Linked DNA regions of Xenopus tropicalis. The protein of the gene in region 6 interacts with the protein of the main gene of each other region in a biochemical or structural test. Links are inferred from orthologs where the notes say so. Each region holds a gene or a part of one and is shown on either strand. Other genes may lie near its edges. The genes, in order: arhgap32, mcf2, cdc42ep3, bnip2, arhgef7, cdc42 and wasl.

Region 1 (4,044 bases), about 22 Mb from region 6:
GTGAATACGTCCCACTCCAAAGGAATGTGCTGCAGTACTACTCACAGGCTGGATTTAAATCACCTTTAAATTAAGGCGAGCAAGATTTATTGGAACTTGCACCCTTTTGTAATGTTAATTATCAAATGGACAACTCACAGCATGAAAAGTCTGTATGCAAACTTATTTAATGAAAGGGGAATGTATTTAGACAAGCAAGCAAAAATAGACTAATTTTGAAACAAATTCAGAAATCAACCCCCATTTGTCACAACATACCTAGCACCTGATGAATAGCGACTTCATTTCAACTGAATCATTCCAATCTATATTTGTAACATAAAGGCAAGCAATAGGGATACCTCCTAATCCATTCGTGGGTGCTAAATGATTTGCTTCATTAGGTGGCTGCCACAGTTTATAGCACATATGGGCAGATTAAGCAGTTAATACAATCAGAAATAAATTGATGCACCTACAACAAGGAGAAAGAAAAAAATCTTCCAAAAATACTTAGGCCAAACACAATGGTAGCAAGGCGGCAATGAAGCCTCCCTGCTGCACAACATATCACTAGACACCATCTGCCCACTGCAAATCCCAACACGTAATGTACTGTTGCCTTGACATCTGCCTAGACTGTTGGGACAAAGGAGAAAAGCTGCTACCAGATATTACAATGTACCAAAATCTACTTCAGAAACCTTCCACCTTTTACTATAGGCAGTGGTGTAAGATCACCCCAAAGCAAAGAATTAGGGGTCACTGTACGGCACTCACGCAAAATCCCCCACCACTGCCCATTTCTGGCCAAGGCAGGATGAGTTCAGAAACATCCTCTCCATACATCCCAAACAGTTAAGCACCCTCATACATAATAACACTTGAGACATAGGGGAAGATATGCGGGGTAAGCCATGTTGCTGTTAATGGTGGGGGAGGCGATAACTGAGCCAGGCGTACGGTGACCTCCTTGACTTCTCGCCCAAGTGACGCGTTATATTGTAGGTGCGAGCTTCCCACACATAATAAACACGCAGCTCGTGAAAAAGGTGTTGTGTAAACACGAAGGAGCCACCATTCAGCGTTAGCACTCTGTGCCTTACACCCGTCCTACACGGAACCAAATAAAATAGCACGCAGTCACCAAATTCCCAAAGACCATCTCCCAGCAGGGACACGCCACAGCCTGCAATGTGATTGATCCTGCACCTTTGCACTAGTAAGCACAAGCGGGATCAGGGTCAGTAAGCTGAATGGAAGCCTGCAGAGACAGCAGCTATTAGCAGCGCAGATATAGGGGAGAGGGCAAGGTGCCCAGTCACTACTGACCTTTCTAATTCATCCAGCTTGCCCCCCGTTGCCATCCTGCCAGAAGTCGAAGGAACTGCGTGGATACTGGGAAAAGCAGCGAAGGCAGCGGCGTCGGTCCCTCCCTCCATGCTGCAAGATCACTGCAGGAGCCGCTTGTGATAGAGAGAACGCAGTAAAGACAGGGAACGGAGACTGAATGGAGAGAGGGGAAGGTACAAGGCTGTGCTGAAAAGCAGAGAGATACATCCAAGAGCCAAAGTGGAATATACTATCCATGTGGAGCCATGATTCCTGCCCACCTATGTACCTGGTTACTGGCCAAACACGGGGGCCATTACGGATCGGCGAGGCTGGGAGATGGCTGGACTGGCTGCTCTAACACTGCAGAGTTTCCTTTCTGAGGTGGCCACAAGCCCTTCAGCTGTTCCTTTGCAGGCAGAGGGAGGGGAAGAGCCACAAGACACTGTCAGAGGGAGGGAGGAGGGGAAGGCTTGGCTTCTCGGGGCATATTGTTCTCTTATTTCAACTTGTGTGAGCTTCAAAGGATTCATTGAGCTATTGCTCACGCACACACTATTCTCCCGCACAAAGGCGCTGGATTCTCCCAGATTGCTCAGTGCAGGTTGATGATGGGCATGAAGGCAGGGGGATGACGCTGCAGGAGCGCTGGGAATCTCCGCTTTAGAGCAGTCTCACTGCAGTTCCTATTGGGAACTTGTCAATAGATTGGGGGGCAGAGAAATAACGCATTTCCCGCGCAAACGATTTGGGGTGAAAGATGCAAAATTGGAATACTGCCTTTGTGCCCTACACTAATAGTGTTCCACATAGCTGTTATAAAGATGGATTTCTAACCAAGTTTGGAGAATGTCCTGGCTATGAGTCAAGGAGTGTATCAGCAGCACAAGTCTGGGCAGGCAGATGTTTTACAGCTTTTAAATTAACCCCTTTCATATAACTCAGATCTTGCATTTCTCTGTGGCTTTCTTTGTGGATCATGATTTGTCTAACCTGCTGTACAGCCATGAGTAACATTTTACTGCTATATAAATGAAGAATAATAATTACACTGGCGACAGAATTCATAAAACAGGTGTACATATATACACTGGAGTATTAAGCAGAAAATCAAAAATTTTATTTGATTAGTGTTTCTGCCTGTCACTTTTCAGCCTGAAAATGCAAGGTTTGAGGACAAACTCTGCCCTGTGTGTGGTGGGAGTGCTATTCCTGTCACAAAGTTTTATTCTAATACACATGGCTGTCTAAGAAGCAGGTTTTGGGCTGATTTACAAACTTAAATACTAAATTTCAGGTGTGCAGTTGCCACTAGCAACCAATCAGGTCTTTGTTTTTATTTTCTACCTTGTAGACCATACTTGTGCAATTTAACACCCAATATTTGTAACCAGAATATAAGGATCAGCAGTGAATGGAATAACAAGTTATTGATTCTAAGTTTTATTGTGTTCCGTGTTGTTCCTCTTTTGCATAGTAGCAAATGTCATCTTTAAAAAAAAAAAAAAAATTTCCCCTAATTTGTGAATGTACCCTAACAATTTGCTTGCTCATAAAAACCTTCCTCAAATTTGATCCACTCCAAAGGTGACAATAAAATCTGCTGTAAGACCCCTATTTCCACTTGCAAAACCCATAATAGCAGGTTTGCACTAGCACATTTGTTTGTATAATGTATAGTGCCTGTTAAATAATCTAAACTGGGTCTAGAATGGCACCAAATGTTATGTACAGATAAAGGTAGAAAATTGCTTACTGTATTTTACTCAGAAGGCATGCATTTTATATCCATAGATGAGTAAAGACCAGAGTCTGCTTATTTTGTCAATATATGCAGGGAATGGCACGCAAACACAGGAAAAAGTCTTTGTAAACAAGCAGAGGTTTGTGGCAAATAGATCTATCTACCTACCTATCTGTGATGTCCCCCGAAGTTTTCTCAAGACAACTTCCAGCGACTGCGGGACATCGCAGCAGCGCATATGCCATCCCACCGGCAATTTACATTCTAGCCGGTGGGATGGCATTGTGGGAAGATTAGTTGCCCGCGACAGCGAAGTCGTGGGGTGACTAATCTCTCCATGTGCCACTGCCTTTAATATACAGAACTTCTCTTAATTTGTTGCCTTACTGGTTTACAGCATAATGTTCTAAAACCAGGCCAAGGTTTGTGCTGATAAGCCTTAGGCACAAATTTGCGGCAGAGCAGAAGCATACTGGCACGGCAGTGTTACTTCATTTTTGGGTGAGTGGTTCCATGGAATGAGACATAACACAATTCTGAGGTTTACTTGCATTAAACTTACCAGCTCAGTGAAATGTACATTTATTTCTGTCAGTGTAAGGTGGTAATAAAGCATGGAGACAATGTGCAGAACGTGTTTTACATACTGAATATGGCAGACACTAGCTATTAACTATATTTTAGGAAAATATCTACACTGCCTGGAAGAAAATTGCATCTGCTGTAAATGCAGGAATATATATACAGAGATTAGTAAAGTACAACTAAAAATTAAATTTAGGTATCAAGAAATAATATAAGCAAGTTATAAAAAAAACAATACAATTTTTAAAATAGCACAGCTTGCATTACTTATATCAGTGTGTGGGTGTATATTCATAAACATAAATTGTTGTTATATGTCTTGGGAACTATTATCCCTATATTTAGTCTATAATACTATTTAACCTATTTTCCCCTGCAGCAATGACATTTTCAAGTTAATAGAA
Region 2 (4,210 bases), on a different chromosome or scaffold from region 6:
ATTCAGATCAATATTTACAAGCACTTCATATTCCATTTTCTAAATGTTTATGTAGGATTCCAGAGTCAAGGTAAGCAATTAGGCATTTCCCTATGCTATGGATCCCCAACCCTTTTTACCTGTGAGCCGAATTTAAATGTAAAAAAGAGTGGGGGAGCAATACAAGCATGCAAACAGTTCCTGGGGGTGCCAAGTAAAGCTTTTGGGTGCGTGTATTGCAAGTCGGCGAGGTGACCGATATCGCAGAAGACTGCGGAGTAACATGGTGAGTAACATGTTGCTCCCGAGCCACTTGTTAGGGATCACTGCCCTATGATCAGATAAAGGGATGCTTCATACATACACATTAAAATAAGCTGGCTGCACTGGTTGCTCTGAATGAAATCAGCAAAGCCCAGCAACTTTATTTGGTGTCCCCAAGCCTGGAATGGGATTAAAAATGGGCCCTGGCATCAGGGCCAAAACGGGGGGTAGGCAGAAGAGGCAGCTGCCTAGGGCGCATCGATTAGGGGGCACCAGGCAGGATCCTCTCCTGCCTAGTCCTTTTTCTTAGTCATTGCCCCCACCGCTAATGACAAGCACACGGGAGGGGGGGCTTGGTGGCCGACCAAGTTGCCTAGGGCCCGCCCCTGCCTGGCATTTAAGTACATAGGGGCTCAAACAGCCCAATTAGTGTAGCCGCCTCTCCTGCACGGAAACTCCATGCAGGAAGGTGGGGAGACTGGCCAACTGATGCACCAATCTTGGAGAATCCTGCCTGGTTTTCTGAATTGGGAAAACCGGGCAGGCAGTTTTGACCTTCTGTGAATTAGAATGGCAGGTATAGGCACCATCGATTCGAATCGACAGAAAATTTGAACCCTGCGTATGGGCCTTCATTTGTGCCCATACACGGGCAGATAAGCTGCCAAATCTGTCTAAAGGACCGATATTGGCAGCTAGAATTGGCCTGTGTATGGGCACCTTAAGAGGCAGCAATTGTTCTCTGTATTCAGCATGGACAAACATATAACTTCAGACATTGCTAGGGAGACATTATATGGCCCAGCACTAGTGACACAAAAACTACTCTTGAAAATATTACTGTACATTAAAAGTTCCCTATAGGTCATGTTGATCATTTTTCACTGATAGGGCTGCTTTTGTAAGTAATTGTTACTTGATGTTCCTAAACCTGACTGTTTTGCCAACCTGACTGTCAGTTATAGCTTCTAATGCTAACCGACTCCTGCAGCATAAATATGGCTGCCCCTCATAGAGGAACATGGGGATCAGATAGATAATATAGAAGTATGGTGCAAATATTTTAAGACAAAATTATAGATAGCATGCAAAGCCAATGTTATGATAGTAGTAAAAAAAAATTCTAATGTCAGTATCTCTTTAACCTGCAGTGGGATGTTTGTTTGTCATTCTGCACCAGCGCCAGATTAGATTCAAATCATGATGTCATACAGAGAGCTCTATAGAGACATAGCCCTTGGGCAAACTGGGGGCCAAAAACCTCCTTGTGGATGTAGAGGGCCACATCCACACTAGCAGGCCTCCAGAACAGCCTTAAAATACCCTACTAAGCACTAGCATTGGCGATACTCACACCACAGGAAGTTTCTTTTTTGGAGAGCTTCACAATAACTATAATCTAGCTAATTACTTCACACATTTAATTGATATGGGAACTGTAAAGTACAATTACATATTACTATGTTATATATATATCACACAAAGGAGGGGAGGACTGTTAAAGATTCGCCTGCAATCATAATGATGGAGTCCTCCTCCCAAATTTTTACAATTTCTTGTCTCTCTCCCTTCATGTACCTATTAACCCCTTTTGACACTCTATTTAACCCCTTTTTTACTCCCTTAAACCACCTCCTCCCCTTCTCTATACCCTCCTCATTTCCCCACACTGCCAATTCCTTGCTGTCTAATTAACTCCTTCCTTTTCTCTACACATGTCATATCATGACTTTTTTCATCTGTTAACCCCTTATTTTCCCTCCCTTACAACCAGCTACTGAATGTTATTGTTTTAGAAACCCAATAACTGTTGGAATCACAGATTTCCAGAAAGCAGTTCAGGAAATCAGAAATTAAGCACATAAAGAATTATTTGCAGCAATAAACCCGCATATAGCCTGACACGGATTTTGAAAATCTGCTAGCAATATTACAGACTACAGAAAGAACATGATCCTATTGCATTTTCACCCAGTCACAGGATAGGTACTGCCCAAAGCAGCAGTTTACTGTAAGTTAGAATGGGGGTCCGCTGAGTGCGCAGGGTGGTAACTGGCAAGTTGAGTGGAGAGAGCAGGGTGCTGAGTAACTTTGGTGGGGAGGGACAGCTGTGGGTGCTGTGGGTGCTGAGGAGGAGAGCAGAGAAGCTCACAGCAGTGTGAATGCAGCATTGCAGTTCTATATGGAAAAACAATGCGATTTGCTCGGAGGATACTGCAGGGGACACCAATAGTCTGTGCTGGGAAAAGGCAGGGAAGTAGGAGACAGCACTTACTTTCCAGGGCAGTGTCCAGGAGGGCAGCAGCCTGCTGCAGGCTATAGTACTTCTCCATTTCCACCGCAGAGATCCTGAAAGTATCCGGGGATGCCATGATGGCTGGGTCACTGGACAGATCGCACACAGCAGGAGGCAGCGGGGAGTCAGAGCCGGGCCGCCCATATGTTGTGCCGCAGCAAAGGGTCACCCCAAGCCCCAGCCAAGAGATGAGAGAAGGCGATCACCCACGGCAGGGCACCCAGCTGCCAACTGGAGGCTAAACGCTACACTGGCTCTGGGCTTCTGTGAATGGGAGATGTGGGCTCAGTGGGCGGAATAAGCTTTCAGTAGGCACCGCCCACTCACACTTGTGGCTTATGTCCCAACTCGTACTAACTACTTACCCTGAAATATGAGAAAAATCCTGGCACAAACTAGTTACCCTGCAACCGATATGATCCCTGATACACATGTAATGGATAGGATCCCTGGCACAAACTAGTTACCCAGAAAATAATAGGATCTCTGGCACAAACTAGTTACCCAACAAAGAATAGGATCCCTGGCACAAACTAGTTACCCAGCAAATAATAGGATCTCTGGCACAAACTAGTTACCCAACAAAGAATAGGATCCCTGGCACAAACTAGTTACCCAGCAAAGAATAGGATCTCTGGCACAAACTAGTTACCCAGCAAAGAATAGGATCTCTGGCACAAACTAGTTACCCTGAAATGGATAGTATCCCTGGCACAAACTAGTTACCCTGAAATGGATAGCATCCCTGGCACAAATGAGTTACCCTGAAATGGATAGCATCCCTGGCACAAACTAGTTACCCAGTAAAGAATAGCATCCCTGGCACAAACTTGTTACCGAGTAAAGAATAGAATCTCTGGCACAAACTAGTTACCCAGTAAAGAATAGCATCCCTGGCACAAACTAGTTACCCAGTAAAGAATAGCATCCCTGGCACAAACTAGTTACCCAGTAAAGAATAGAATCTCTGGCACAAACTAGTTAAAGAATAGCATCCCTGGCACAAACTAGTCACCCAGCAAAGAATAGCATCTCTGGCACAAACTAGTTACCCTGAAATTGATATGAACCCCTGGCACAAACTAGTTATCCTGAAATGGATAGAATCTCTGGCACAAACTAGTTACCCTGAAATGGATAGTATCCCTGGCACAAACTAGTTACCCTGAAATGGATAGTATCCCTGGCACAAACTAGTTACCCTGAAATGGATAGCATCCCTGGCACAAACTAGTTACCCTGAAATGGATAGCATCCCTGGCACAAACTAGTTACCCAGTAAAGAATAGCATCCCTGGCACAAACTAGTTACCCAGTAAAGAATAGAATCTCTGGCACAAACTAGTTACCCAGCAAAGAATAGCATCTCTGGCACAAACTAGTTACCCTGAAATGGATATGAATCCCTGGCACAAACTAGTTACCCTGAAATGGATAGTATCCCTGGCACAAACTAGTTACCCAGCAAAGAATAGGATCTCTGCACAAACTAGTTACTCAGCAAAGAATAGGATCTCTGGCACAAACTAGTTACCCTGAAATGGATAGCATCCCTGGCACAAACTAGTTACCCAGTAAAGAATAGCATCCCTGGCACAAACTAGTTACCCTGAAATGGATAGCATCCCTGGCACAAACTAGTTACCCTGAAATGGATAGTATCCCTGGCAC
Region 3 (2,997 bases), on a different chromosome or scaffold from region 6:
TTAGATTTGGTTTGTTATCCTGCTGAATCTATGAAGAATTTGGTATTCACCTGGATACCAGATGCTCTACAATACTGGCTAGGAAAGGGTTAAATTATGATTTATTATGGAGTAGCTGAGTCTGTGCTTTAGTTGCGGGACTTAATGTCATTTCTGAGATTTCTGGATAAATGTTTTCTAATTAATAAATCCCATGCCTGTGCTATGATTTACTCTATCATATTAATGAATACTTTAATCTAGACCACCAGATAAATGTCTCCTTGTTGATAACAGTATAAATACTTTCAGTGTAAAAGGAAAATAAATGAAAACTGAGACCTGACTTATTTTTGTTGTTGTAATGTATTTTCCTTGTAATACACCGCCTGTGCAATTTTCCTTGTTGATATTAACAGTGCCCAGCTCTTATTAATATCTGTGAAGCATTAAGGAGACCAAAAAAAAATAATGTCTTAGACATTGCCAATAAAAATGTGCTCAGTGAGTTGTAAATAAGGGGCACAGGCATAAAAATATAGGAAAGTCACAGAAAGGCCACAGTGGCCTTGTGAATCTGGTCACTTTTATGCTGTTTAATGGAGGGAAACCACATCACAAAGCGAATCTGTAGACTGGAACTGTCAGCACCATAACTGATTGTTGTGTGAAAACAAGAATGAATGAGCCATGAAAAAACTGGTTAATGATAACTTGCTTTCTTTCCTCTCCAGGTTTGCGGAAAGAAGCGAAACTTTATGGATGTGCTGCCTGCAGACGAAGTACGAGCTTGCACTTGCCACTAAGTGAGTTTCAGCCAACGTGTTGGGAGAAGTTTTTCTGCGTGACTTTAAGAGCAAACCAGAGGCTGGGATAGTAAAGTGAATGATGTAATCTAACAGAGATATAAAGCTGATTTTATTCAACATCTACACGTTTAATACCTTTCAAGATGCCAGCGAAGACACCCATTTATCTTAAAACTGCCAACAGCAAAAAGGGGAAAAAATTCAAACTAAGGGATATATTGTCCCCTGACCTGATCAGCCCACCTTTAGGGGATTTCCGTCACACAATACACATTGGGAAAGATGGGCAACATGATGTGTTTGGTGACATTTCTTTCCTTCAAGGAAATTTTGAGTTGTTGCCTGGCAACCAAGGGAAACCCAGAAACGGACATTATCATGGACACGGTGAATTTCTGAGGGCAAACAGCACGTGTGAGTCTGTGTTTTCTGAGACATCCTCGCCTGTACTTAAAAATGCAATTTCTCTCCCTACAATTGGAGGATCGCAGGCCTTGGTTCTGCCTTTATTATCCACAGTGACTTTCAACTCTAAAAGGGATTCCTTTAGCCCTTCAAGGTTACCCCGGCTGAGCTGTGAGCCTGTGCTAGAGGAAAAACTACTTGAGCAGAGCCAACCATATGAAAATGGACACCAGTTTGATCATGAGTGGAAAGTAAGCAATTCAGCTTCGTGTTCTACAAATGGAAGGTCAAGCCATTCTTCCAGCCTCTCAGAACCATATAATGACTGGCAAGCTAGTGACTTGTTTGAAGATAGCCATATTGCATGTGAAATAGAGAGCCCAGACATGAAGCCAGAAGAGCCTCTTTCTGACCTGGCAAGTTCACTCCTCACCCTCCAACTTGACCTTGGCCCATCTTTGTTGGATGAGGTGCTTCATGTAATGGACAAAGGCAAGGCTTAGACAATCAGGCCTTCCACACCTTACAGACATGGTACATATATAAAGTCTGTTACCCATAGATTTGAATAATTCAAATATTTTATTGTTTACATATCTGCACCGCCGTATTTCTTTCATCATCAGTATATATACTAAAGATTTCCTTTTCAATCTTGGTATTTGTGAGACACTTTAGATACTTGTCTACTCTTTCATAGTTTTTTTTTATGTACGGAAAGAATGAACTCTGAAGAAGAAATGTATAGTAATATATTCCTTTGTTTGCAAGAAGGGAAGAGAATGTAGACAGATAAATATATAGACCCATGGTCCTCTCACTGTTGTTGAATTACAGCACTAAGTATCATTACTTATACATTACGTGTGCCATATCATCAGCTTCTGCTGCATGCATCAGAAAGTCTTTGGATGGACCAGGAATCACCATGCTGCCATGTTACAGCTCACAGAGTTTGCCTGGAGCCCCATAGACTTTATGTCCTGGTCCCAGTATATATATTTTAGCCATTAAAGTTCTGCTACGCAGCACATAACTAAATTATTTTCATTTAAATATCCTTTATGTGCCTTTGTATTTTTACAACAAAGCTTGTATTTTATAGATATCCCATCACCATTTTTTTATCGCTTTCACATTTTTCATCGCAGGTTCAATGTATATTTTTGTGACAGTTTGAGAAAATATGTATTATACTTTTTTTCTTATCTATGTCCTACAGATGTATGAGGCAATATATGTTTCATATGTAAGCAAAGCACTGGTTTCTCATATTGTTAAATAAAATAATTGATGCTAAAGCATCTGCTTCAACAGGTTTGTTTTCCTACTAGTATTTATGGGTTTGTGCAAGAAGAAGAGGAATGAAACAATCTTTCTTGCATTCAGGAAGTACAAGTGTGGATTATATAGAATATTTGGGAGCTGGAGTTTTCTTAATGTGGAACACTAGGCCACTAGAAACATAGGAATACTATACCTCTAGAATCAATACTTAAATAATAGTTTACATCAAATATTGCCTTTTTACATCTTTTCCCTTGAGCCACCATTTAGTGATGGGCTGTGTGCTCCCTCTGAGACCACCTGACAGGAAATAATGCAGCTGTAACTGCATTTTGGGAGCAAAAGACATAACTTTGCCCATTAATTGGCTGATGTAAAATGGCAATTTTCTATTTAGAATAACTCAATTGCAAGTATATTTTTATGAAAATGTTTTATTTAGCTGAAGCAGGCTTTAACATATGAGCTGTTATGTTTATAGAGACCTACATTGTTCAGGGGTATAGTATGTGCGTTG
Region 4 (3,500 bases), on a different chromosome or scaffold from region 6:
ACAATCAGTATAGATATATGTCAATAGTAAATTGCAATGTATATGAGCAAATTATATCTCTTTGAACTTTACTTTATTTTCTAAATTCTTAGTAATTCCTTTTTATTGTGTCCTTCGGTATCCATTATACATTTTGTGCACATTGCCTTAAAGATTTGCATATAATTTAGTGACAAAACTTCCTAATATCAGTATTATTTGATATTGCAGTTTATAAACCATACAGTAATGGTTAAAAACAAGTAATCAAATATGTTTTATAGGACAAACAATTAGAATCTTGGTTATTCCTTGTACCCAATTATTTATGTTAAAGGCAATTTGGCAGCAGGAAAAGAAATATCACACTTATAGCAATCAATGTAGCACAGAGCTGTTTGCCTTTCTAATATTAAACCATATATTATCATATAACTGTCTCAAACTAAGTTTCTAACTACACAATGACAAATGAAATAAACAAAGAACATTACATACTCTTTTATGCATTCCGGTATGCTGACGTACTCCATAGGAATAAGTTCTGCTAATTCAACCAAGCTAAAGACATATTTAATTTTCTGGCTGAATTTTGAGCTAAAAACAAAATAAAACAACAATGGTTATTATGGTAGCTACTGTAGTAATATAATAATTAAATATAGAAGATCAGATTTCATTTCTATTACCTAATGAAGGGCTTTGTGATAGCTAGAAGTGTTCTGATAAACCAGGAAGGGTGTACTATGATCAAAGACTTGAGATTTTTCCGTAACCTTTTATAAAGAAAGACAAGCATTTGATTAGGCCACATGAAAATAAGTCTAGCAAAATTGAAAAATATATATAACCGTTGACCAGTAGAGTGCACATTTGTGCATCTTTGTTCAGTGCAGTTAAGTCACATACTTGATTGCTCAGGCTTTAGGCAAATCCTAATCTTTAAAAAAAACTTCTGGGATTCTGTGAATTCCAAACTGTATTCTGGTTTCTGTGCTTCCCTAACAACAGATTGACCTGAATGCATTAGCATTCAAATACATAATTCAACTTACATCTGTAACTGTAGCCCCCAATTTATTTGATGCTTTAGACATACCTCCTATCAATTTGTTGATAGCATTTCCTAAGCCATCCTAGGCTAGGCATTTTCCTCCGCGTTGTGGCTCCATTTAAATAAACTATCATGTAGTTTTCTGCAACTAACATTTCCAAAGTGCCAATAACATACCTGATGAATAAGCAGAGATACTTATTATTATTGAAAAATAAAAATACAAAACTGGGAACAAAATCAAAAAGACACAGCAAAAAAAAAAGGGGTAAAAAGCTGGTTGCATAGTACTAACAATCACCTAAATAAAATGGGGAACAGAATGAATGAAGCGTAGCAAAAAGGAATAAAGTTGGTCACAAACTACCAAGCACCAAATTCTCTGTGTGGATCCACAACCAAGTTAGTCTAACAGCTGCAAAGCAATGTGGCTGCAATAGAGATGATTACAAAAAAATAAGAATACAAAATTTTGGTCTGCTAATATGAGCCCCAATGCCATTTATGGGGTCACCAGGAACAAGATGGGGCCACCATTTCTTAGTGGTCTCATCATTCTGCCCAATATGTGCAGTTTGGACAACCACACGTGGGCAGTATTACACAAAAGGACCAAGACTTCATTAATCACCTTCTGTTTCTAATCTGTGTGGTAAATTATGACCCCCTTACTTAATATAAGTATATTCAATGTTACTGAGGGGCTTCAAAGACAAGATGCTGCAGGCCGAGTGCTTTGCATGCCCTATGGAACTTTGAGGTGCCTTCTAATATGCATATAATTTAAATGAGGGGTATATTTGTTTTTATGACACTGGCTTTTTTATTTTTTTTTACCAACATTGGACTAATGAAAAGCAACAGCTGTTCAGTGTTAGTAGAGCCCAGGTGCTTCAAGTAACACAACTGACACCAAAGAGCAGCACCAATAACTAACAACATCACTAAACAGTTTCCAAGGACATATTCTACAGGCTACACATGGCTAGTGAAATATAAAGTATTTAGTATATAATTCTTTATATACAATCGTACTGATATAGATAATAAATACAGAATGCAATACTCACTTAAATAGATTGTCCATTAGGTAGCGATAATTAGGTTGACCACTATCAGGCATAAAGCACACAGCAAACACTATAATTGCATTTAATCCATCTCCATAATAACCTTTAATGAAAATAATTATAATAAGTCAGTGGAAGAGAAACACAGGTTTTTCATTTTCTAGATCTTTTCATTTGTGTAATAAAATATGTTTGTGCAGAGGCATAACTACAGAGGGAGCAGACCACATTTGTGGATTATATATTGAATAATGTACCCCCTTATTTTTCCATGACCATATAGCACAAGGCTGAAATGCTCTTATACAGGTCATGGAACTTTGAGGTGACTTCTAATATACGCATATTTTAGCACAAGGGGTGCATTATTTATTATAATACACAAGTTTCAATGAGTCAAGTGAAAATACAACACTTTGACATTAAAGGAGAATGCAAGTCAAAATTTAAAAAGCATACTGCCCAATAGTCCTCCTATTGTTTAGTAAAAACACCACACTTTTGGCTCACCTAATCAAATATTTACTCAGTCACACTTACTTCACATTTTCTAGAACAGGCAGCCATCTCTAAAAAGGTATTCTCCCTTCCTTTCCCTCCTTGCTTCATACTGCACGTGTTTCATTCCCTCCCCCCCTCCCCTCTGCCAGATCCACTTCTGATTGGCTGGTGGGCATGTGTAGCTCAGAACAGGAGACAGGATCAAGTTACACACATGCTCAGAGAATGGGAAGGCTGCCGCTGGCTGTAGGCTGTAGGCTGCCAGCACCATATCTCAGAGAAGCAAGCAGGGATCTGGGAATTTGGATATGCAGTAAGTACTTAAAAAGAATGCCTTTAGACTTACTTTTAATTTATATTAACCTTTCATTGTCCTTTATAAGTCATTATAATTGATCCCATTACTAGGTACAATTTATAAAGATATAATTAACAGAGTATTCTGGGCTTTTCTATCTATCTATCTATCTATCTATCTATCAAATAATACAACATCTTCTAATCATATAAAACTGCACTCACAGGTCAATGATGTAAAGTAAAAAAAGTGGTAATTTATATAGTTAGTCTCCTTTTTTTTTAACCTAATATCAATTTGAAGCTTGTGCTGCTATTTTGCGATCCACCTCCTTCCCAGGAGGCAGAGCGTGCTATTTATTTGCCATTGCACTAACTACCAGCAATGATTATGCATTAGAGATCTCATTACATACTTTGTATAGATCCAAAGTGTAGCCCTCACACTAAAATCACACATGTTTCTCAGTGCATTGCCGCAAAGGTAATACTGAAATTACTATTTAAATAATAATAATATAAAATGAGTGCATGGTTTTATTGTGAGCAGAAGATTACATGTAAGTACCTCTTCTTACCTCCATGGCTAATAACTTTTT
Region 5 (4,128 bases), on a different chromosome or scaffold from region 6:
GGGTTAATACTTTGCTCATTCGCCATTCTGCAATAATCTTACTGGGAAGTCTGCTTATTGCCCATTTCTGCAATGTTATTACTGGTATATCTGGTTTTAATACAGTGCTCATTGGCCTTCCGCAATGATCTTACTGGGACATCTGGGGTTAACTGAGTGCTCATTGACGATTTATGCAATGATTTCACTGGCATATCTGGGGTAGATGGAGTGGTCACTGGCCATTTCGGCAATTATCTTACTGGCAGTAAGAAGTGCTCATGAAGTGCTCATTAGTCACTTCTACAGTGATGTTTTTGGAGCTTTCATTGTTCATTTCTGCAATGATCTTACAGGTTATATGGGGTTAATAGAGTGCTCACTGGCCATTTATACAGTGTTCTTACTGGCATAAAATATATATTACATGACACAGTATTGTAGGTGATCTTCTCACAAACACTGTTTATTTGTAATTTAAGACAATATTATTCTTTGCAATTTTCCAATATACATTAATTAAAACATTTCAATGCATTAAAATTTATTTGTAGCACTATCTGTCTGGTATCTGTCTATATTCTGTACACTACTGGTTCTGACTTCTGATACAATGCAACAGAAGAAAGCTGATTAACAGACCTGGAGGAGAACTAACTTCTGCTACACTGTTTCAGCAGACAGAAAACAGGAAGGTAAAAACAAATGCAGCTTCAACTTTAACATTTTTCAACTGAAAATTTGTAATCAATGTATATTGGAAAGTTGTTTATAATTAAATTTTCTGTCATTATGCAAAAAGTAGTTTTTAGGAGGAGATCCCCTTTAAATTCAAAGAGTTTTTTTTCAAAGCAAAAAATCAACTTCTTGACCAGGAAAACCAATGATTTCCCAGTCTGACGAACCATTCATATTCTCCACTTCAGTGAAATAAACTAGCATTGTAGCATTCATAAAATCATAAATAAAATCATTCATAAAAGATTTGCATATAAGTGTTTCCCTGGCCTATCTCTGCACACACACAATAGTAACATTTACAAGCATAGCAATTTTCTATCAAAATATCAACAGATACCAAAAAGTAACAAAGAAGTTTAGTCTTTGGTTTAATGCCAATAACTCAGTGACACAGAATTGACTTTAGACATCCACTGATTTCTTATTGGTTGAAAGCTTAGGTCTTAGCCAATAGAAGCTGAAGAGGAGCCTTCTACTGTGAAGATCCTACTCTGACAAAGAGCTAGGAGAAACTGTCATATGCATCAGCTGCCAAGTAGCATGTGACACCTTAGAGTGCAATGGCACCCCCCTCCTCAGTGCCACCTATGCAATACAAGCAATACCCAAACAGACCATATAGGGAAATATTTATTTAAATCAGGTCCTTGAACAGTAAGTCTGGAAAAAATTCTTCTCTTGTTAGCATACATAGGGCCTCATTTTGTATTGCCTAAAAAGCTATAAATAATGTTTGCTTGGTAATGGATGGGCTGCCAACTTACTATGTTACTAAATGGACGCAGGCTCCCATGTTGGCTTTTATATTTGGTCAATGGGTATAGATTATCTGTAGTGTCTGGCTATACCTGTCTACACTATAAAGCTGAGATAGTATCAGAAGAGGTGATTAATGGTTGATGGACTACACAGATAGAGACACACATAGAGAGATAGGTAGACCCTTCCTTTGGAGCTTGAAGTCAGCATGGAAGACCCAAACAATTTTTGCCCCCCCCAGTGCAATGCCACCGCCTCCCCTCCTTGTGTTTTTGTACAGGGTATCCCCTCCTCCCCCAGCTGTCGGTCACACCGCCCTACTTGATGGGGGTTGGGATGCTGCTGCAGTTAACCCCTGCTGAGAGCAATGTGCCCTAAGCAAACAACTTGCAGCAGTGCTTGCCCAGCTCCCTAAGCAAACAACTTGCAGCAGTGCTTGCCCAGCTCCTGGAGGGCAGAAGAAGAAAGAAGTGGGCACACGGTCACAGCAAACACAAGTGGCAGCCAGGGGCTTTACCTTGTCTATGGAGCCAGGCAGAAGCCTCTCCAGCAGCCGGCACAGGACCACCCCGTCCTTCAGGGACGTTTGCAGGAAGCCCTCCGGATCGGAGATGGTTTTCTTGGGCGACTCCAGCACCCCGAGAGTTATAAGCCATGTTACGGTTTGCTCTGCAGAATTCATGGCTCGGCAGCCAGACACGTAAAGCCAGAGACTGCAAGAGCGAGGGGGGCAGGGGCAGCCAATGCAGTATCCCTCAAATCCAGCCCCTTCCCCCCTTTGTAGATGGAACTGGCTGCTGCTGCTTTGCTCCCCTTGTAGGTGGACATGAAACCCAGGCTGCTGCTGCTGCTGATCCCTCCTTCCCCGGGCAGATGCAGATGATGACGCCTCGCTGCTGTAGGAAATGCAGCAGGTCCGCTCCCCCGTCCCCCTCCTCCTCCTCCTCCTATTCCTGTCTTCCCTCGCTGCCCCCCTCTTCCCCGCTCTGTGCTGGGCGCTCTGGCAGCCTGTCAAGTGGCTTTTGATTGCACACGGAGCCTGCAGTGTCGCCACTCTCTTCTTCAGGAGAATCAGTGCTCAGCCAAGAGATCTCCGGCACTGCATGAACCAGAGCATCCCCAGGGCTTGTACCTGCCATTCCACATGTTACAGACAAAGGCCAGCCTGACAGTGTGTGCAGTGGAACATGTCACACACAAATACATTCCTTTCTCATCCTCTGCTTGAGTGAGGGGGGGGCGGGGTATAATATAAACATATATGGTATTTGACAGCTGTAACTTGAGTGGTTTGTGCCACCTTTTCACCCTTCCCAGCTACAGTCATGTGACCCCTGTGATGGCCATTAAAAGGGCAACCATCTGGGAGTTTTAACCTTGAAAGTGAGCTAGTTGCAGGTAAAACTTGTGACCCTATCAAAAATGTATAATGAATAGTAGAATTGTGAAGGAATCAGATGAAAGTGAGTGTAGGACTGGCCAGACCAAGGTTGACTTCAACATAGTTGGCCAGCTTAAAAATATTGCAATATATGGACAAAAGACAGGGACGCTGCTACCATAAGGCCAGTTGAGAAACTCACCTCAGGCAGCAGCACAGACAAAGTACCAGTGGCGGCATAAAGAGTTTGCACTCTACGCTAGCAATGCAGTTCCCCCTGAACCCCCTCCAGCACTGTAAAGGTAAGCACGAGTGGGGCGGCATTGGAGGAGCCACCTCAGGCAAGTCAAGGGCAAGAAAGGGGAGGGCATTTTTAGTATCTTAATGCACAGAATGTCTTAATGTCCTATATATATATACTAATAATGGATGAGCGCAGAGGTGGAGTCGGCAGCTTATTGGCCCTTGTATGGGGCTCTCAGATGGGCCTGCATGACCGATATATATATCCAAAGATCGGCCAGATGTGGATCAGGCAGGTTTAAAAATCCAAACACGATGAGGTGTGCATTGTTGGGTTGATGTGGTCCTTATCCCTTGTCCCTGCAGCCTCCATACCAGAAATGTGATCCAGTCATCCAAAACTGGCCACCTCAAGGTAGGCATATCAGGGATTCTGCAGCCTTGCCAAATGAGCAGATCTTTCAGTGTATAGCCAGCTTGAAACACTCTTCTCTACATAACCAATAAATGGTTCATAATTCCAGCTTTAAAATGCTGATATGCTAAATAATCAACTTGTTCTTTTCCCAGTTTCTTGCTGTCTGTATTCATTTGCATATGGAATATGTACCAAAAAAGCTGTAAACTGGATTTTCCTTTAGATTGATGATTCCTATTCATGATTGTACTGTAGGTTAAAGCTGTACACATTGAATTTACAGCATACATTGTGTTGGTTGTACATTACAAGTCTTGATGGGACCTAGTGGCTGTTGCATTCAAGGTTAACTACATGGATAATAAATTAGCTCTCCTGAGCTTAGGCCACATATGTTGTGATTGTGGTCTCCTGAGCTTTCTGTTGCCATGGCAACAGCAAGTGACAGATTGGGAGGCCTTTAATAAAAATAATCTAGGGTATATCAGATTGCAATTGATTATTGGCTTTGCATAGACAAAGCTGGAAAGGATTTCTAAATTAGATGTGCTGCACTGTGGATGGGGTGACTTTTTTGCATACAATTTTTGCTTGCTCCTTTTGGGTG
Region 6 (3,500 bases):
CCTTCTGCCGATTCAGCTCTGAAGGGAGAATTTTGGTCAGGCGCCTTCTATGGCGCCCGATCAAAATTTTCTAACTTGGCCGATCGGCGAGCCGACCGATTTCAGCAGCTTCCTGCGATATCGGTCGGCTCGCTGACATGCCATACACGCACCGATTATCGTACGAAACGAGGTTTCGTACGATAATATCGGTGCGTGTATGGCCACCTTAAGAGTATGCATTTCTAGCCCCACATCAAATTTCAAAATTAAATATAAAAAAAAAAAGCGGTTTGCTCTTTCAGTGCAGGATTTTGCTGGAGGAGCACTATTACCTGCATGTTGCACAAGAAACATGTTTTGCCATGACAGAACACCTTTAAGAAATGGTGCAATATGTTCTGAGGCAGAAGATAAGTTCAGGGGCACTTACATATTACAATGTTGGATTGTCGAAAGCCATTTTAAATGCTGAGTAACTGGATTTATATTCTAGGCTTAAACTATAAGTGTGGGCAAAAATGTCAAGACAAAGAAATTTATCCTAGGAGCTGTTCAAGCCAAGTATATAACCCAACGGATTGAAAAGGAACATGCTGCAAAATGGAACAAGTGTGTGTATGGCTATACCCTACATGAAATAGAAATTGTACATGATGTCATGATGCCAAATACTGTACATGATGCCACCCCAAGTGCAGTTAATTAGCTCCGAGTAGTAATATCCTTAAAATAGTGCCACAGTGCTTTAGGGCTCTGGCACACAGGGAGATTAGTCGCCCGCGACAAAACTCCCTGTTTGCGGGCGACTAATCTCCCCGAGTTGCCATGACCCGCCATCCCTCCAGCGAAAAAGCCTCGCGAGTCTTTTTCGGCAATTTCGGGAAATCGCGCCGCCACGCGTGCCATCCCGCCAGCGACTTACCTGTTCGCCGGTGGGATGGCGGGTCATGGCAACTCGGGGAGATTAGTCGCCCGCGAACAGGGAGTTTTGTCGTGGGCTAATCTCCCCATGTGCCAGAGCCCTTACAGAGACACAACATGCATACAGTTGGCAGATCCAAACTGAGTCTTCTACGTAACCCTTGCAGCTGAGTTGAGAATTTAAAGTAAAGGAAAAAAAGTGATTACAAAAAGAAAAAAACCTGAAATGCAAACCGAAAATAAAAATGTACTTTACTAAAATGGAAAACACTGTAAACCAAATAATCTGGCAGGTCTGTGTTGAAAGCCAAGTGGTCTATACGATATCAAGGCAATAATCCAGTGAAATGGATTTTCCAAGACAACTGGGTTTATGTAGAGGCAGGGGAATAACTATAGGCAGTTGAGGGCAGAGGGGATACATGGGGAACTGAAAGATAAGCAGTCTACAGTCTGGCAAATTGTCTTATTCACAAAGTTTAGGAGTGGTAAATTAAATCTGTTGAGACCAGTAAGTTCTATTCCACTGTGTAGAAGACCATAACTGCAGAAAGCTTTTATTTTCATGTAAGCACTGAGTGGCTGCAGGTTATGTAAACATCGGGCAAATTCCCCTGAATACAGCAGAAGGTTTACTGCAGGCACAAGAGTTAGTCCAAGCTGTTAGGCTGCACATTACCTTGCAGCAATAGCAGGAACAACAGTGTTTCTTTAAAGAGAACACTCCTTGAATTGGGTGTATTGGCCCTGTATGGGGTAGGTGGCTTGATGAGAGTAATCTACAAAACTCCCATGCTCTAAAGAAACAAGGTTAATATAATATTTTAAGACGAGGCAACAAAATGTCTTAAAGCAAGCATGTTCTATATATGCCTTGAAAAGGAAGTGTAGGAAAGAAAAAGGGGTTAACAAAAAATAAAATGAAAAATGGATAGAGGGTACTTCAAAAGGTACTAACTGGACTCTCCTAAATCTATTTACAATGGTTGCCTTTCAGATACAGGTATAGTATACATTATCCAGAAAACTCTGAATTAAGGAAAGGGCTTGTCCCGCAGACTTCATTTTAAATAATTTTTTTTAAATATGTTCCTTCTTCTCTGTAATAAGTACCTTGTACTTGCTCCCAACTAAGATCTAATTAATCCTTATAGGAGGCAAAACAATCCTATTGGGTTTATTTAATGTTAAAATGATTTTTAGTAGATAGGGTATGGAGATCCAAATTATGGAAAGATCCCAGAAAACTCCAGGTCTCAAGTGTTCAGGATAGCAGGTCCCATACCTGTATACTTCCATGGAAAGTCAGTTTGATTGTGTATTTACAGTCTTCATAAATTTGTAATGCACTTTCCAAAATGATAACATTTTATATAGAAAAAAGGAATGTGTTTTCTGATCTTCTGTTTTAAAATACTCTACTACAACAATCAAGTAGATGCTGATCCCATAATATGAACCAGAATTTGTATTTCAATACATTTCTATTTTTTTGGCATAATACCCTTTTCTTCCTCATACAGTTATAATATACTGCATCAGCCTTCAAGCTATTTGTACTAGTCCAAAATCTAAACTATTATGCAATCTACTTGAGAGCTACAAGTTAATGAAGGTCTAAGAGTATAACCATTGGAGAGCATTAAGCTCTACAACATAGCTGCTGTTTTCTCACCTGCGTAAGTGCAGAACACTCCACATATTTTACTGCCTTTAAGTCACGGGCCAGTTTCTCAGCTGTCTCTGGAGTGATTGGTTTCTGTTTGTTTTTTGCCAGTTTCTCAATTGTTGAAGGATCATCTCTTAAATCTATCTGGGTGCCAACCAGCAGAAATGGAGTTTTGGGACAGTGATGAGTGATTTCAGGTACCCACTGAAAACAAAAAAACAGTTTTGGTTTGAGGATAGTTTAATATAGTAAAAAGAATAATCACAGTAAATGACTTAAAATACCTTTTCTTTCACATTTTCAAATGAAGATGGAGACACGACGGAGAAACAAACTAGAAACACATCTGTCTGTGGATAGCTAAGAGGTCGTAATCTATCATAATCTTCCTGTCCTGTGGAAAGAGAGCAATACTAGTTAAAAAGAGTGCACGCTGAATACTGTCACCATTTAAACCTAGCCATACAAGAGTTCATTAGTTATAGACTGATTTATTTTACTAAAGAAAATTGTTCCAAAGTTTGTTACCATGTCTAGTAGTAAGCATGGAGTCAACCTTTTTTAAGCACCATATAGTGGAACGTCATCCTATCACTACTGCAGTAAGCATTTGTCAACTAACTGAAAAACTATCAATACCTATTTGTGCCTCTGCCATTCAGGTAAATAGAATCCACCTGTCACCACTGGTGGCAGTTTTCATCCATCTTAACGACATAAAGCTATCAGGCATTTTTCCTCCGAAAAGAGAAATGTTACTTGTGCTACGGGCCTTATATTTTCATAAAAGCAGATGTAAGTAAAAATCACAAAATTAAACCTACTGACTAGAAAAGCATACAGAGGGTCAGTGATAAGATTATGGGCAACAATAACAGACATATTCTAAAATGACAGGACAAAGAAAATCCATATTTCACTTGGACAG
Region 7 (4,025 bases), on a different chromosome or scaffold from region 6:
TAAGGGGGAATGTGACCACTGCCTGAAATGAACCATATATAAATTTTGTGAAGAAGGAAAGACTGCAGAAGCCTTTACGGCAGGGATACCCTACCTTTTTTTACCCGTGAGCCACACTCAAATGTAAAAAGGGTTGAGGAGCAACACAAGCATTAAAAAATGTTCATGAGGGTGCCAAATAAGGGCTGTGAATAGCTGTTTGGTAGTCTTTATGTGGACTGGCAGCCTAAATGTGGCTCTGTACAACTGGTTTTTATGCAACCAGAGCTTGCATCCAAGCCAGAAATTCAAAAATAAGCACCTGCTTTGAGGCCACTGGGAGCAATATCCAAGGGCTTGGGGGTGCAACATGTTGCTCCTGAACCACTGGTTGGGGATCACTGCTTTACGGTAACTGTAAAACAATGCTAAAAAGAACAAAACAGACAGGTAACAATACCACCAATCAAAAGCATCCTTCTGAATTTCAGCTGCTTTGGACCTACAATATCCAGCATCCTTCTGAAAGCAAAGCCAACCTAGGAATACTGAGTGTATGAGTTCTTTAAAGGAGAACGAAAGGCAAAGTCACTTGGGGGTGCCAAAATGTTAGGCACTCCCAAGTGACTTAAATCGCCTACCTTGTACCCTGGGATGGTGCCCCTGTTCGGAGAGAACAGCACTAGCCTGGGGTAGCTGCAGCGCTTCCTCCTTGCTGCTTCGCGTGCGCAGTAGAGCGAAAAGCCGAACTTTAACAGAAAAGTCGGCTTTTCACTCTACTGCACATGGGCCGACCACTGGCATTTGCCGGAAAAGGAAGCAGGAAGCGCTTGCTACAGGTACCCCGGGCTGTTTTCTCCTAAAAGGGGCACCAGCCCAGGGTACAAGGTAGGTGATTAAAGTCACTTGGGGATGCCTAACATTTTAAGCAATGGAAAGCTAGCTTTCTGTTCCTACAGTAACAGCACTACAGCATCAGATACTGTCAAAGAAACTAGGAAGCAAATCTTTAAAAGATATAATAAAATATAAGTATAATGAAAAAAAAAGCTCCAAGGATTCATTTAATGTGCCATAACTTTTCACAACAACATTGCTGTAAAAATGTCCCAGCATTATCTTCTATCAGAGAAAATGGAATGAATAAATGTCGGTCAAGCTATCACTATTGTACAATGTGGGGGAGATTCACCAGTATAGTGTGCTTTCCAAAAAACTGAGATTCACTGTGATTATTCTGAGACAAATTTCCATGTAGTATTAACTTCCATACAGCTGCCAAGGCTAACACAACAAACACAAAGTTCTGATACAACTAAACAAACATTTATTCAGTGCTAGAACCTTTGTGGGCAACCTACAGTACCATATGAATGCATCCATATTTAGCAATCGGGCAAGACAAAGACAATAAAAGATGTATCATTACTATTTATTATTAACAAGCATCTATAAACAGCCATACATCAAACATACAAAATTTAGAAACAATTACTGAGTGATACAGGAGGTAAAGAGGGACCTGCTCAGTACAGCTACCGAACTGAACCGAAAAGGGGATATGAGATGCAAAGTGATATATACAGAAAATGCCATTAATTACTATATAAAAACTGAGTTTAATAGTACTTAGTACAGAGTTTTAAAAATTCTTAATAGAGTCTTAAATAAAAAAAAATTCTATACCATTCACATTATATTCACACACTAAAGTCAATTCAGTCAGTAGTCAATGAACCTGTATCTATATATTTGTTTATTTTTAAATGATTAAATGGGCACCACAAAAATATGCTACATACAAACAAGAAAAATATCAAAAGAGTAACAAACATTCATTGTCATTTACTGTAATTACCACACATCAATACTATAGCAGAATATCAAAAAACAGCAAATTCGCACTAATGTATCTTGTACAATACAGCACTTTTAACACATTTAGGAACTTTTGCTGTAGTTGTAGTTATAACTTCCTGTGTCTGGCTAGCTAAGAATGCTGGTTATAGCTGGTCAACAGCAGGGCAATTAGGTTATATGTATATCTGGCTACTGAGGAATTCAAACCAAACCATAATTGTGGTTATCAGTAACTCTAAGGTAATAGTTCAACAAGCAGGAAGGGCTTTAGCTAAAGAAAGGGCAATACCTTGGTTAGTAATGGCACCCCAAGCACTGTGTACAGCCAATGGAAATAGGGCAGAAATATATTAGCCGAGTTGCCCTATGCCTGGTATATACCAAACCAGCAAGCTGCCACTTTCAACCTGTTAAATAAAATGACCATCATTCGGCAGCCACTGACTGCTGGGGGGTAAAAGTAGCAGCTGGACAACCGGAGTACTACAGGTTAGAAAAATATCCTAGAATAAAAAGCAGCCCAGGAGGTTTAGACACGGAGGGCAGTAGCCACCCTTGCCCAGCATACAAGGAAACATAAAATAAGACTTGGCACCCTGCGGCCCTCCAGCTGCTAAACTACAATTCCCTGTACCAATCAGCCTACTAGGGGTGGGAGTTGTAGTCCTAAAACAACTGGCGAACTGCCCCCATTTGAATAAAAGACAACCGGGCCGCACTCACCACACACTTCTTGCCCAGGTAACTAAAGAGACTTTCATTTTCCTGCGCGGTGAGCAGTATGGAGCCGCTGTTTGTCACCCTTTTGGTCTGCCTGTTGTTGTTATTATTAGGGCCGATATTGTTACTCATGATTAGTGTTGGCAGGGAATCTCTCCCTTCGGTCCCTGCAGAGATTCTATAAGTCAGTATCGCCCCTCAGCGCAGGATCAGGGCCGCTTCATATCCCGGCCGCTTGTCGTCGTGTTGTGGGAGGATCCGGATGACCAGGCTGGCGCTGCTACTGCCTGTGCAGGAGGTGCTCGGCCCCGTAAAGCACTGCGCGCCCTTACAGTAAACTAGGAAGTGCTCGGCGCATGCGTGTGCGGAGGCCTTCGCAATTATCATTATTTAGCCCTTACAAAGCTTCCGCCAGGCTTCGGAGGCCGTGCGGAGCCGCAAGACATCATGGGAGAATGTTTACTCTGCAGTGTAGGCAATGCAGTTCTGTTCTGCTGTTCAGATGCGGAATAATGTGGAACAGGGCTGACTCTAGTTAACCAATAGTTTTACTCTTCTTACATTAATTGACTTGCATAATGTAACGTCTTACTGTCTAACTGCTTGTCTATAGGAACAAATATAGCAGCCAATTCGTATTTCCTCCATTCCCCTTGTCCATCTACCTAGTGTTCCTTCTTCCCCTGACAGATACATTTTATTAATAAAGTAGCTTCTATTTATTTTCCTTATATGTTTATATTTTTATCCCTTGGCACTCACATGCTCGCACCTGCGGAATTTTAGAGGGTGAAGACACACAGAGCTACTAGAAGCAGCTACTTGTCACTGCTACAAAACTAGACAGTGCTGACCATTACTGATAATTGTCTCTACTTGTGTTTTAGCAGAGGCAATTCTCTGTATTGTCTAAGGCGGGGTATTTTATGCCATTTAGTAGCCCTGACAAGTAGCTGCTACTAAGTAGCTCTGTGTGTCTGTGTAATTCACTTTAAAATTAACGTTTACCTTTACTCAGTGCTATTCTTAGACAATTTGCAATAAGTCTTAGTTTGTTTTTTGTTTTTTTTTTTTGCAGTTTTTGAATTATTTAGTTTTTTGTTGAGCAGCTCTCCAGTTTGGAATTTCAGAAGCTATCTGGTTTGTAGGGTTCAATTTACCCTAGCAAACAGGTAGTAGTTGCTGCAGGGGTATTGGTGCCATCTGTTCTGGAAAAAATGATAACCCTTCTCATGTATTTATCTTTCTTCCCTAATAATAACATGGGGATCAAGCATGATTTTTACCCCTTGGTGCTGCTTTTCAGAAAAAAATACACCACTTTAGGAAACTTTCTTAAGCAGTGCTGCTCCTCCATCTTACTCGATTTTCGAAAGTGTCCCTTCCATAGACTTGGCAGATTGGACTAAGTAATAGGAAGCAAACCAATGCTTAACCTGACCAAAAACAAAAGCTTTACATACATT

The links.
Region 1: of the proteins of cdc42 (region 6) and arhgap32, one has a biochemical effect on the other in vitro, tested with the Homo sapiens proteins (3 studies listed by BioGRID). The link is inferred for Xenopus tropicalis from reciprocal best matches to the Homo sapiens genes CDC42 and ARHGAP32.
Region 2: the proteins of cdc42 (region 6) and mcf2 form a complex in vitro, tested with the Homo sapiens proteins (2 studies listed by BioGRID). The link is inferred for Xenopus tropicalis from reciprocal best matches to the Homo sapiens genes CDC42 and MCF2.
Region 3: the proteins of cdc42 (region 6) and cdc42ep3 form a complex in vitro, tested with the Homo sapiens proteins (2 studies listed by BioGRID). The link is inferred for Xenopus tropicalis from reciprocal best matches to the Homo sapiens genes CDC42 and CDC42EP3.
Region 4: the proteins of cdc42 (region 6) and bnip2 form a complex in vitro, tested with the Homo sapiens proteins (2 studies listed by BioGRID, with this or other methods). The link is inferred for Xenopus tropicalis from reciprocal best matches to the Homo sapiens genes CDC42 and BNIP2.
Region 5: the proteins of cdc42 (region 6) and arhgef7 form a complex in vitro, tested with the Homo sapiens proteins (2 studies listed by BioGRID). The link is inferred for Xenopus tropicalis from reciprocal best matches to the Homo sapiens genes CDC42 and ARHGEF7.
Region 7: the proteins of cdc42 (region 6) and wasl form a complex in vitro, tested with the Homo sapiens proteins (3 studies listed by BioGRID). The link is inferred for Xenopus tropicalis from reciprocal best matches to the Homo sapiens genes CDC42 and WASL.

Annotation. Positions count from the first base shown.
Region 1 is NC_030683.2:72,586,010-72,590,053, forward strand, and holds the start of arhgap32 (rho GTPase-activating protein 32), read right to left. Parts: upstream 2,801-4,044; 5' UTR 1,422-2,800; coding exon 1,312-1,421; intron 1-1,311. UniProt on the Homo sapiens protein: GTPase-activating protein (GAP) promoting GTP hydrolysis on RHOA, CDC42 and RAC1 small GTPases. May be involved in the differentiation of neuronal cells during the formation of neurite extensions.
Region 2 is NC_030684.2:70,020,553-70,024,762, forward strand, and holds the start of mcf2 (proto-oncogene DBL), read right to left. Parts: upstream 2,801-4,210; 5' UTR 2,616-2,800; coding exon 2,519-2,615; intron 1-2,518. UniProt on the Homo sapiens protein: Guanine nucleotide exchange factor (GEF) that modulates the Rho family of GTPases. Promotes the conversion of some member of the Rho family GTPase from the GDP-bound to the GTP-bound form. Isoform 1 exhibits no activity toward RHOA, RAC1 or CDC42.
Region 3 is NC_030681.2:42,316,922-42,319,918, forward strand, and holds the end of cdc42ep3 (cdc42 effector protein 3), read left to right. Parts: intron 1-713; 5' UTR 714-931; coding exon 932-1,696; 3' UTR 1,697-2,497; downstream 2,498-2,997.
Region 4 is NC_030679.2:96,408,857-96,412,356, reverse strand, and holds part of bnip2 (BCL2/adenovirus E1B 19 kDa protein-interacting protein 2), read right to left. Parts: coding exon 3,480-3,500; intron 2,207-3,479; coding exon 2,104-2,206; intron 1,211-2,103; coding exon 1,079-1,210; intron 756-1,078; coding exon 669-755; intron 577-668; coding exon 478-576; intron 1-477.
Region 5 is NC_030678.2:116,995,143-116,999,270, forward strand, and holds the start of arhgef7 (rho guanine nucleotide exchange factor 7), read right to left. Parts: upstream 2,801-4,128; 5' UTR 2,162-2,800; coding exon 1,997-2,161; intron 1-1,996. UniProt on the Homo sapiens protein: Acts as a RAC1 guanine nucleotide exchange factor (GEF) and can induce membrane ruffling. Functions in cell migration, attachment and cell spreading. Promotes targeting of RAC1 to focal adhesions. May function as a positive regulator of apoptosis.
Region 6 is NC_030683.2:94,425,887-94,429,386, forward strand, and holds part of cdc42 (cell division control protein 42 homolog), read right to left. Parts: intron 2,967-3,500; coding exon 2,857-2,966; intron 2,777-2,856; coding exon 2,579-2,776; intron 1-2,578. UniProt on the Homo sapiens protein: Plasma membrane-associated small GTPase which cycles between an active GTP-bound and an inactive GDP-bound state. In active state binds to a variety of effector proteins to regulate cellular responses. Involved in epithelial cell polarization processes.
Region 7 is NC_030679.2:70,363,222-70,367,246, forward strand, and holds the start of wasl (neural Wiskott-Aldrich syndrome protein), read right to left. Parts: upstream 2,801-4,025; 5' UTR 2,692-2,800; coding exon 2,563-2,691; intron 1-2,562. UniProt on the Homo sapiens protein: Regulates actin polymerization by stimulating the actin-nucleating activity of the Arp2/3 complex. Involved in various processes, such as mitosis and cytokinesis, via its role in the regulation of actin polymerization.